Anolis sagrei: one gene and its partner. The protein of the gene in region 1 interacts with the protein of each later gene in a biochemical or structural test. Links are inferred from orthologs where the notes say so. Each region holds a gene or a part of one and is shown on either strand. Other genes may lie near its edges. The genes, in order: NFE2L2 and ENC1.

Region 1 (3,915 bases):
CAGTCGTGTCCGACTCTGGGGGTCGGTGCTCATCTCCATTTCTAAGCTGAAGAGCTGGCATTGTCCACAGATACCTCTAAGGTCATGTGGCCGGCATGACTGCACGGTGCGCCATTTACCTTCCCGACGGAGCGTTATCTATTGATCTACCCACGTTTGCATGTTTTCGAACTGCTAGGTTGGCAGAAGCTGGGGCTGACAGCAGAAGCTGATGCCACTCCCCAGATTCGAACCTGCGACCTTTTGGTCAACAAGCTCAGCAGCTCAGTGCCTTAACCCACTATGCCACCGGGTAATATATTATTAGCATAGTACAATATCAATATTAAATATTATTATAGTGTACTATTCCATTATATTGTGATATTACTAGTAATATTACATGTAATATAAACATATAATTATGTTTATTAGTATTATATTTCATTACATAATATTATATGTATATACAATATATTATATTATTAGCCTAGCACAGGAGACAAGGTGGAACTGTCTTCTGCTCCCCTCTCTCTTCACTCTGGCCCAGAGCAGCAGTTATTTCTTGGGGGGGGGGGGGGGGGGGGAGGGGTCCCCAACTGATGACATATTTATTTATCTACTATATTTGTATACTGCTTTTCTCAGCCCTCGGGCGACTCAAAGTGGTTAACAATAGCAAAATTCAATGCTCAGAACACCATAAAACAGTTAAAAACAATTAAAACAGTAGCATATTAAACACAATCATGCAGGAGACAAGGTGGAACTGTCCCCTGGCCACCTCTCTCTTCACTCGGGCCCAGAGCGTCTACACCAGGCCTGGGCAAGCTTGGGCCCTCCAGGTGTTTTGGACTTCAACTCCCACAATTCCACCAGCTATTAGGAATTGTGAGAGTTGGAAGTCCAAAACACCTGGAGGGCCCAACTTTGCCCAGGCCTGGTCTACACTGTGAGGTTAATTCAATTTGACCCCACTTTAACTGCCGCGGCTGTTAGGAATTGTGGGAGTTGAAGTCCAAAACACCTGGAGGGCCCAAGCCTGGCCTACACGGTGAAGTTCATGGAGTTTGACTTCACTTTAACTGCTGCTGCTGTTAGGAATTGTAGGAGTTGAAGTCCAAAACACCTGGAGGGCCCAAGTTTGCCCAGGCCTGGTCTACACTGTGAGGTTAATTTAGTTTGACCCCACTTTAACCGCCATGGCTCAATGCTATGGGATGTTGGCCCTTTTGCAAGGGTTTGAGCCTTCTCTGCTCCCTGAACTGCGACTCCGAGGATTCCACAGCACTGAGGCAGTTAAAGCGGTGCCAAAGTGGGTTTATCCTCCAGTGTGGACCAACCGCGAGGGCCTCCCGGCTCGGCCCCTCCTTCTCCGGGGGGAGGGAGGGAGGGAGAAAGGGAGAGAAGGCGGGGCAGGCGGCTGGTGGTTTCCCGGCAGGGAGGACGGACGGAGGGCGAGCAGAGCGGGACAGGGACAGCGGAGGAGAAGCAGGAGGAGGAGAAGGCTGTGTCGGCGTCACCGCCGGAGAGAGGCAGCTAAAGCGTCCCGTCCAGAAAAGGAAGAGCCTCAGTCCGCTTGATTCGTTAGGCGGCGAAGCCTCTCTCTCACTCTCCCTTTCTCCCCCCCCCCCCCCCGCACCCGGCGTGGAACCCGTTGCGTCATCGCCAGTGACGTCACCATGGAGGTCGAGATGCCGCAGGTGAGGCTCACTTTAGGGGTACTTGGATCCCCTTCCCCAGGAGGGGCGGGGCAGAGAGAGACCTCCGTGCGGGAGGAAAGGGGGCGGGGTTAAGGATAGGCCACGCCCCCTCGATTGCTGCGATCGCCACAGCGGTCCAAGCCGGTGTTATTTTTTTTCCTTTTTCTAAGCCACGCCCCTCTAGGCCGTGACGTCACAGCCAGGCTCGAATGCGCTGACTCACTGGCTCTTCGGTCGGCCTTGACAAGAGGAAGGGGCCCTGTTTTGGTTTGGAAACGAGGGAGTTGTAGTTTGGAGAAGTACCAGCACTCTTGGGCAGAGAAGGGCAAAGAAAAGCCAGAAGTCCTATAACTATGTAGAATGGATCAATAAGAGTTAAAGTGGTGTCAAAAGTGCATTCATTCTACAGTGTAGATCAGGCCTGAGCAAACTCTGGCCTTCCAGGTGTTTTGGACTTCAACTCCCACAATTCCTAGCAGTCCAAAACACCTGGAAGACCAGAGTTTGCCCTAGCTGCTGGGAATTGTGGGAGTTGAAGTTCAAAACACCTGGAAGGCCAGAGTTTGTCCAGGCCTGGTGGAGATGCGCCCTGGATCTGTTTTTCTTGTTGCTTCACCACTTTGTTTTCCCACATCTGGATCTATTATATACATATAATAATAATAATAATAATAATAATAATAATAATAATATGGAGCCCCCGGTGGCACAGTGGGTTAAACCCCTGTGCTGGCAGGACTGAAGACTGACAGGTCACATGTTCGAATCTGAGGAGAGGCCGATGAGCTCCCTCTATCAGCTCCAGCTCCTCATGCCGGGACATGAGAGAAGCCTCCCACAAGGATGATAAAAACATCAAATCATCCCCTGGGCAACGTCCTTGCAGACGGCCAATTCTCTCACACCAGAAGCAACTTGCAGTTTCTCAAGTCGCTCCTGACACAACAGCAATAATAATAATAATAATAATAATAATAATAATAGTAATAAACTTTATTTATACCCCCCAACCATCTCCTCAAAGGGGACTCGGGGTGGCTAACATGAGGCCAAGCCCAAAAATACAATACAGCAAAAAGTAAAATACAGACTGCAGACAATCAAAATTGCATCAGAATAAAATATGTATAGTAGCAAAAATAACATAAATAAAGCAAATTAGCACAGTATAAAATTGAAACAAAATGGACAGGCCAAATGAACGAGATAAAATGATAAAACCCTGGATGGGGTAGGAATAAAATATGTGATTGAGGGAAACCCAAAAGGATAATAAATAAATGCACAAAAAGATTGCAAAATGTGCAGTCTAGTAAGATATTTAGACTGTTACTGAAAGGAGGCAGACTTTCCATGGAGCTGCTGCTACTTTTTCAATACGTTCATAAAGCAGCAAATTCTTTACCTTTGTGCTTAGAAGGAATTATCACTTTTAGGTAACAGGGCTGTGCCCTTCATTTGCTTTCCGGTAATAATATGGGGCTGTGATGATGCAATGAGTTAAAGTGCTAAGCTGCTGAACTTACTGATTGGAAGGTCAGCGGTTCGAATCCGCAGGACGGGGTGAGCTCTGTTAGCCCCAGCTTCCAACCTAGCAGTTCGGAAAAACATGCAAATGTGAGTAGATCACTAGGTACCATGTCAGCGGGAAGGTAATGGTGCTCCATGCAGTCATGCTGGCCACATGACCTTGGAGGTGTCTAAGGACAGCATCAGCTCTTCGGCTTAGAAATGGAGATGAGCACCAACCCCCCAGACTTAATGTCAAGGGGAAACCTTTACTTTTACTAATATTACTAAAAATAAGAAAGCATAGGCACTTTGGTGGCACATGAATCCACTTAAAATCCAGTTTCTGCCTCCTGCAGAATGCTGGGGTTTGTAGTTTAGGGAGGATCCTTTAACAGCCTCACTAAACTACAAACCCCAGCATTCTGCAGGAGGCAGATACCGGATTTTAAGTGGATTCATTCTCAAGTGTGATGAAGAGTAGAGGGTGCATCCACATTGTAGAATTAATACTATATGACAGCACTTTAACTGCCATTGCTCCAGACTATGGAATCACGATAGTTGCAGTTTGACAAGGTCTTTAGCCTTCTCTGCCAACAGGAAATAGCCTCTCATATTTAGAACAATAATGTACATAATGGCTTTCATCTGATGTCAGTAGTCTACAGAGCCATGTGGAATATTTGCGGGTCTCTCACCAAACTACAGCTCCCAGGATACC
Region 2 (3,915 bases), on another chromosome or scaffold:
TAATAATAGCAACAACATTTTATTTGTATTCTGCCCTATCTCTCCAAGGGGACTCAGGGCAGATTCCAGCATATACACACACAAGGAAAACATTCAATGCCTTGAAACAATGACACAAAGATACACTGATAAAGGTAAAGGCTTCCCCTTCATCTCCATATAACCAAGAAAATCAAAACAGGAAACCCCACAATATCTGCTTTGAACTGGGTTATCTGAGTCCACACTGCCATATATTCCAATTCAAAGCAGATCATAGAAACATAGAGTTGGAAGAGACGTCATGGGCCATCCAGTCCAACCTCCTGCCAAGAAGCAGGAAGATCGCATTCAAAGCACCCCTGACAGATAGCCATCCAGCCTCTGTTTAAAGGTCTCCATAGAAGGAGCCTCCACCACACTTTGGGGCAGAGAGTTCCACTACTGAACAGCTCTCACAGTGGGGAGGTTCTTCCTAATGTTCAGATGGAATCTCCTTTCTTGTAGTTTGAAGCCATTGCTCTGCGTCCTAGTCTCCAGGGCAGCAGAAAACAAGCTTGCTCCCTCCTCCCTGGGACTTCCCCTCACATATTTATACATGGCTATTATATCTCCTCTCAGCCTTCTCTTCTTCAGGCTAAACATGCCCAGCTCTTTAAGCCGCTCTTCATAGGGCTTGTTCTCCAGTTCCTTGATCATTTTAGTCGCCCTCCTCTGGACATATTCCAGCCTGTCAATATCTCTCTTGAATTGTGGTGCCCAGAATTGGACACAATATTCCAGGTGTGGTCTGACCAAGGCAGAATAGTGGGATTTCCTGCCTTGATATTCTGGGTTACATGGCTGTGTGGCAGGACTCCGAGGGCCCTTCCACAAAGTCCTATATTCCAGAATATTAAGGCAGAAAATCCCACAATATCTGCTTTGAACTCGGTTATCTGGGTCCACACTCAGATGTGGAACTTTCTGCCTTGATATTCTGGGATATAGGGCCGTGTGGAAGGGCCCTAGGCGAGAAAGAGACCTTTGTGGAGCAGAGCCTAGTCTTCAAGACCGCAGAGCCTGAATCCGTTGGTGGTGGCTGGCCACAGGCTTGCCTTGGAGGTTTGGGGCTGCTGCAAAAGGAGTTTCAGGACTAGTGATTTCCTTTTCTCTCGAGTACCAGAAAGTCCCTTCTCCCTTTCTGCCGAGGAGACCTTCCCCGTCAGTATAACCACCCCCCCATGCTTTTGCGCCCTTCCTTGCTCAGAGGAGGCGGGGCGGGGGGCGAGGCCAGAGGCAAGGCCGCCCATCTCTCTCTCTCTCTTTCTCCTCCTCCTCTTGCAGCCGCAGTTCATACAAACGCGGCGAGGAAGGCAGGCGGGCAGTCAGTCAGTCACTCGCCGGGGCCACGACGGCGTGGCTCCTCTCTTTATCCCTCTCTTCTCCGGCTCAGTCTGGAGGGCGCCCAGGGAAGGAGAGGCGGGCCTTCTAGCCCCGCCACCGCTGCGGGGAAGCACCCACCACCCCAGGCTCCCCATGCCGTGAGCGGACCCACTCCCGGGAACTAGGACGCGCGAGTCCTCCGAACACATCCTCCGGCTGTAAGTTGCCCCGACCTGTTGCCTCCCGGGGAGGGTTTGCTCAGCCCCACCGAAGGAGGGAGGGAGGGTAGATAGATAGTGGCAGAGTGGGTAGAGAGTGGGGAGAGGTGGATGAGTAGATAGTGGGGCGCGGTTGGAAGCGATCCCCTCCCCAGTTCCCTTCCACACAGCCCTATATCACAGAATATCAAGGCAGGAAATCCCACATTATCTGAATATTCACTCAGATAACCCAGTTCAAAGCGGATATTGTGGGATTTTCTGCCCTGATATTCTGGGATATAGGGCTGTGTGGAAGGGCTCTCAGATAACTCTGTTCATATCAGATATTGGGCCCTTCCATACAGCCCTATATCCCAGAATATCAAGGCAGAAAATCCCACAATATTGAACTGGCTTATCTGAGTCCATACTCGGATATTGTGGGATTTTCTGCCTTGATATTCTGGGATATAGGGCTGTGTGGAAGAGTCCCCAGTTGTCAGTCCTCTTGAGGAGCATATGCACTGCAGAATTAATCCGCTTTGACCCCACTTGAATTGCCATGGCTCAATTTTACTGGATTGTAGTTTTAAGTGTGCAGAATGAATGCAGTTTGCCACCACTTTGCTTGACTCAATGCTGCAGAACAGGCATGGGCAAATTTGGGCTCTTCAGGTGTTTTGGACTGCAACTCCCACCATTCCTAACAGCCTCAGCCCCCCTTTCCCCTCTCAGCCGCTTAAGCCTTGCAGCTTCAAAGCCCGGCTGCTTCCTGCCTGGAGGAATCTTTTATTGGGAGTTGTTAGCTGGCTCTGATTGTTTCCAACAGACTTCACAGCCTGAGGATGCCTCTTAAGCGGCTGAAGGGGAAAAGGAAGGGGCCTGAGGCTGTTAGGAATGGTGGGAGTTGCAGTCCAAAACATCTGGAGGATCCAACTTTGCCCATGCCTAGTATAGGTGCGCTTTAACTCAAAGACATTCAAAGCTCGCTCTCTCTCTCCCCCCCCCCCCCCCCCTCCGACTCGATCTGGTTTCATTCCGAAATGGTCCCGCGTGCGTGGGAAAGGGCCTGGGGAAGAATACTGCCGAGGGTTTCCCCCGAAGGAGGCAGCGATGGTCTGTCTTTGCAGCCCAAGGAAGTGAACTGCTGCGCCTCCAGCCGGGCTCATGGCTTTGCACAGGAAGAAGGCGGGCCGGAGGGTGTGCTTCTTTCTCCCTTTCTCTCGCTTCCTTCCTTCCTCAATCCCTCCCTCTTTCTCTCTCTCCCTCCCTTCTTGGGGATGCCTCGGAGTTTCTCCTTTTCCTTTCACAGCCAAGGGGGAGGGAACCGTTGGCGGTCTTTTGTGGAGGGAGACCCGCGTGGCTCGCTGGGCTTCGTCTGGGCAGCTGCAAAAAGGAAGCGCCAAAGCCGCCGGGTTTAAAAATGAAGGCGCCTATTCTCATGGGCAAGCCCTGCCAAACACCAAAACTGTGATCAACTGGGATGGGTGTGTGTTTGACAAACCAGCTTGCTCTTTCTTCTCTCTCATTCCTCCTAAATGATTTGATTGTGTCCCTTAAAACTCCCTTTCCACTCAGCCCTATATCCCAGCATATCAAGGTAGGAAATCCCACATTATCTGTGTGTGGACTCAGAAGTGGACCCACTTTAAAGCAGATAATGTGGGATTTTCTGCCTTGATATTCTGGGATATAGGGCTGAATGCAAGGGTCCAGAGTGGGATGTGGGGTGTTGTGAGTTTTCCAAGCTGGATGGCCATCTTCCAGAAGTATTCTCTCCTGACCTTTTGCCCACATCTATGGCAGGCATCCTCAGAGGTTGTGAGGTCTGTTGGAAACTAGGAAAATGGGGTTTATATATCTGTGGAATGTCCAGGGTGGGAGAAAGTACTCTTGTCTGTTGGAGGTAGGTGTGAATGTTTCAATTGGCCACCTTGATTAGCATTTAATGGCCTTGCAGTTTCTAGGTCTGGCTTCTTAGGGCCCATCCATACAGCCCTATATCCCAGAATATCTAGGTAGAAAATCCCATAATATCTGCTTTGAACTGGGTTAACTGAGTCCACACTCAGATAATGTGGGATTCTCTGCCTTGATATTCTGGGATATAGGGCTGTGTGGAAGGGCCCTTACAGTGGGATGTGTCAGTGTATTGTTGAAGGTTTCCATGGCCAGAATCATTGGGTTGCTGTGAGTTTTTTGGGCTGTATTGTTGTTGTATTGGATCACACATTGTACACTTCCCAATAATAATTTGGAAGTGTCAAACGTGTGATCCAATACAACAGTCAACATAGGGACCTTGTTTGCTGTGTACTAATCTTGTATTTATAATAATAATAATAATAATCTTGTATTTATAATAATAATA

Evidence for each region.
Region 2: the proteins of NFE2L2 (region 1) and ENC1 form a complex in vitro, tested with the Homo sapiens proteins (2 studies listed by BioGRID). The link is inferred for Anolis sagrei from reciprocal best matches to the Homo sapiens genes NFE2L2 and ENC1.

Annotation. Positions count from the first base shown.
Region 1 is NC_090021.1:190,492,135-190,496,049, forward strand, and holds the start of NFE2L2 (nuclear factor erythroid 2-related factor 2), read left to right. Parts: upstream 1-1,380; 5' UTR 1,381-1,661; coding exon 1,662-1,682; intron 1,683-3,915.
Region 2 is NC_090022.1:263,513,535-263,517,449, reverse strand, and holds the start of ENC1 (ectoderm-neural cortex protein 1), read left to right. Parts: upstream 1-1,298; 5' UTR 1,299-1,562; intron 1,563-3,915. UniProt on the Homo sapiens protein: Actin-binding protein involved in the regulation of neuronal process formation and in differentiation of neural crest cells.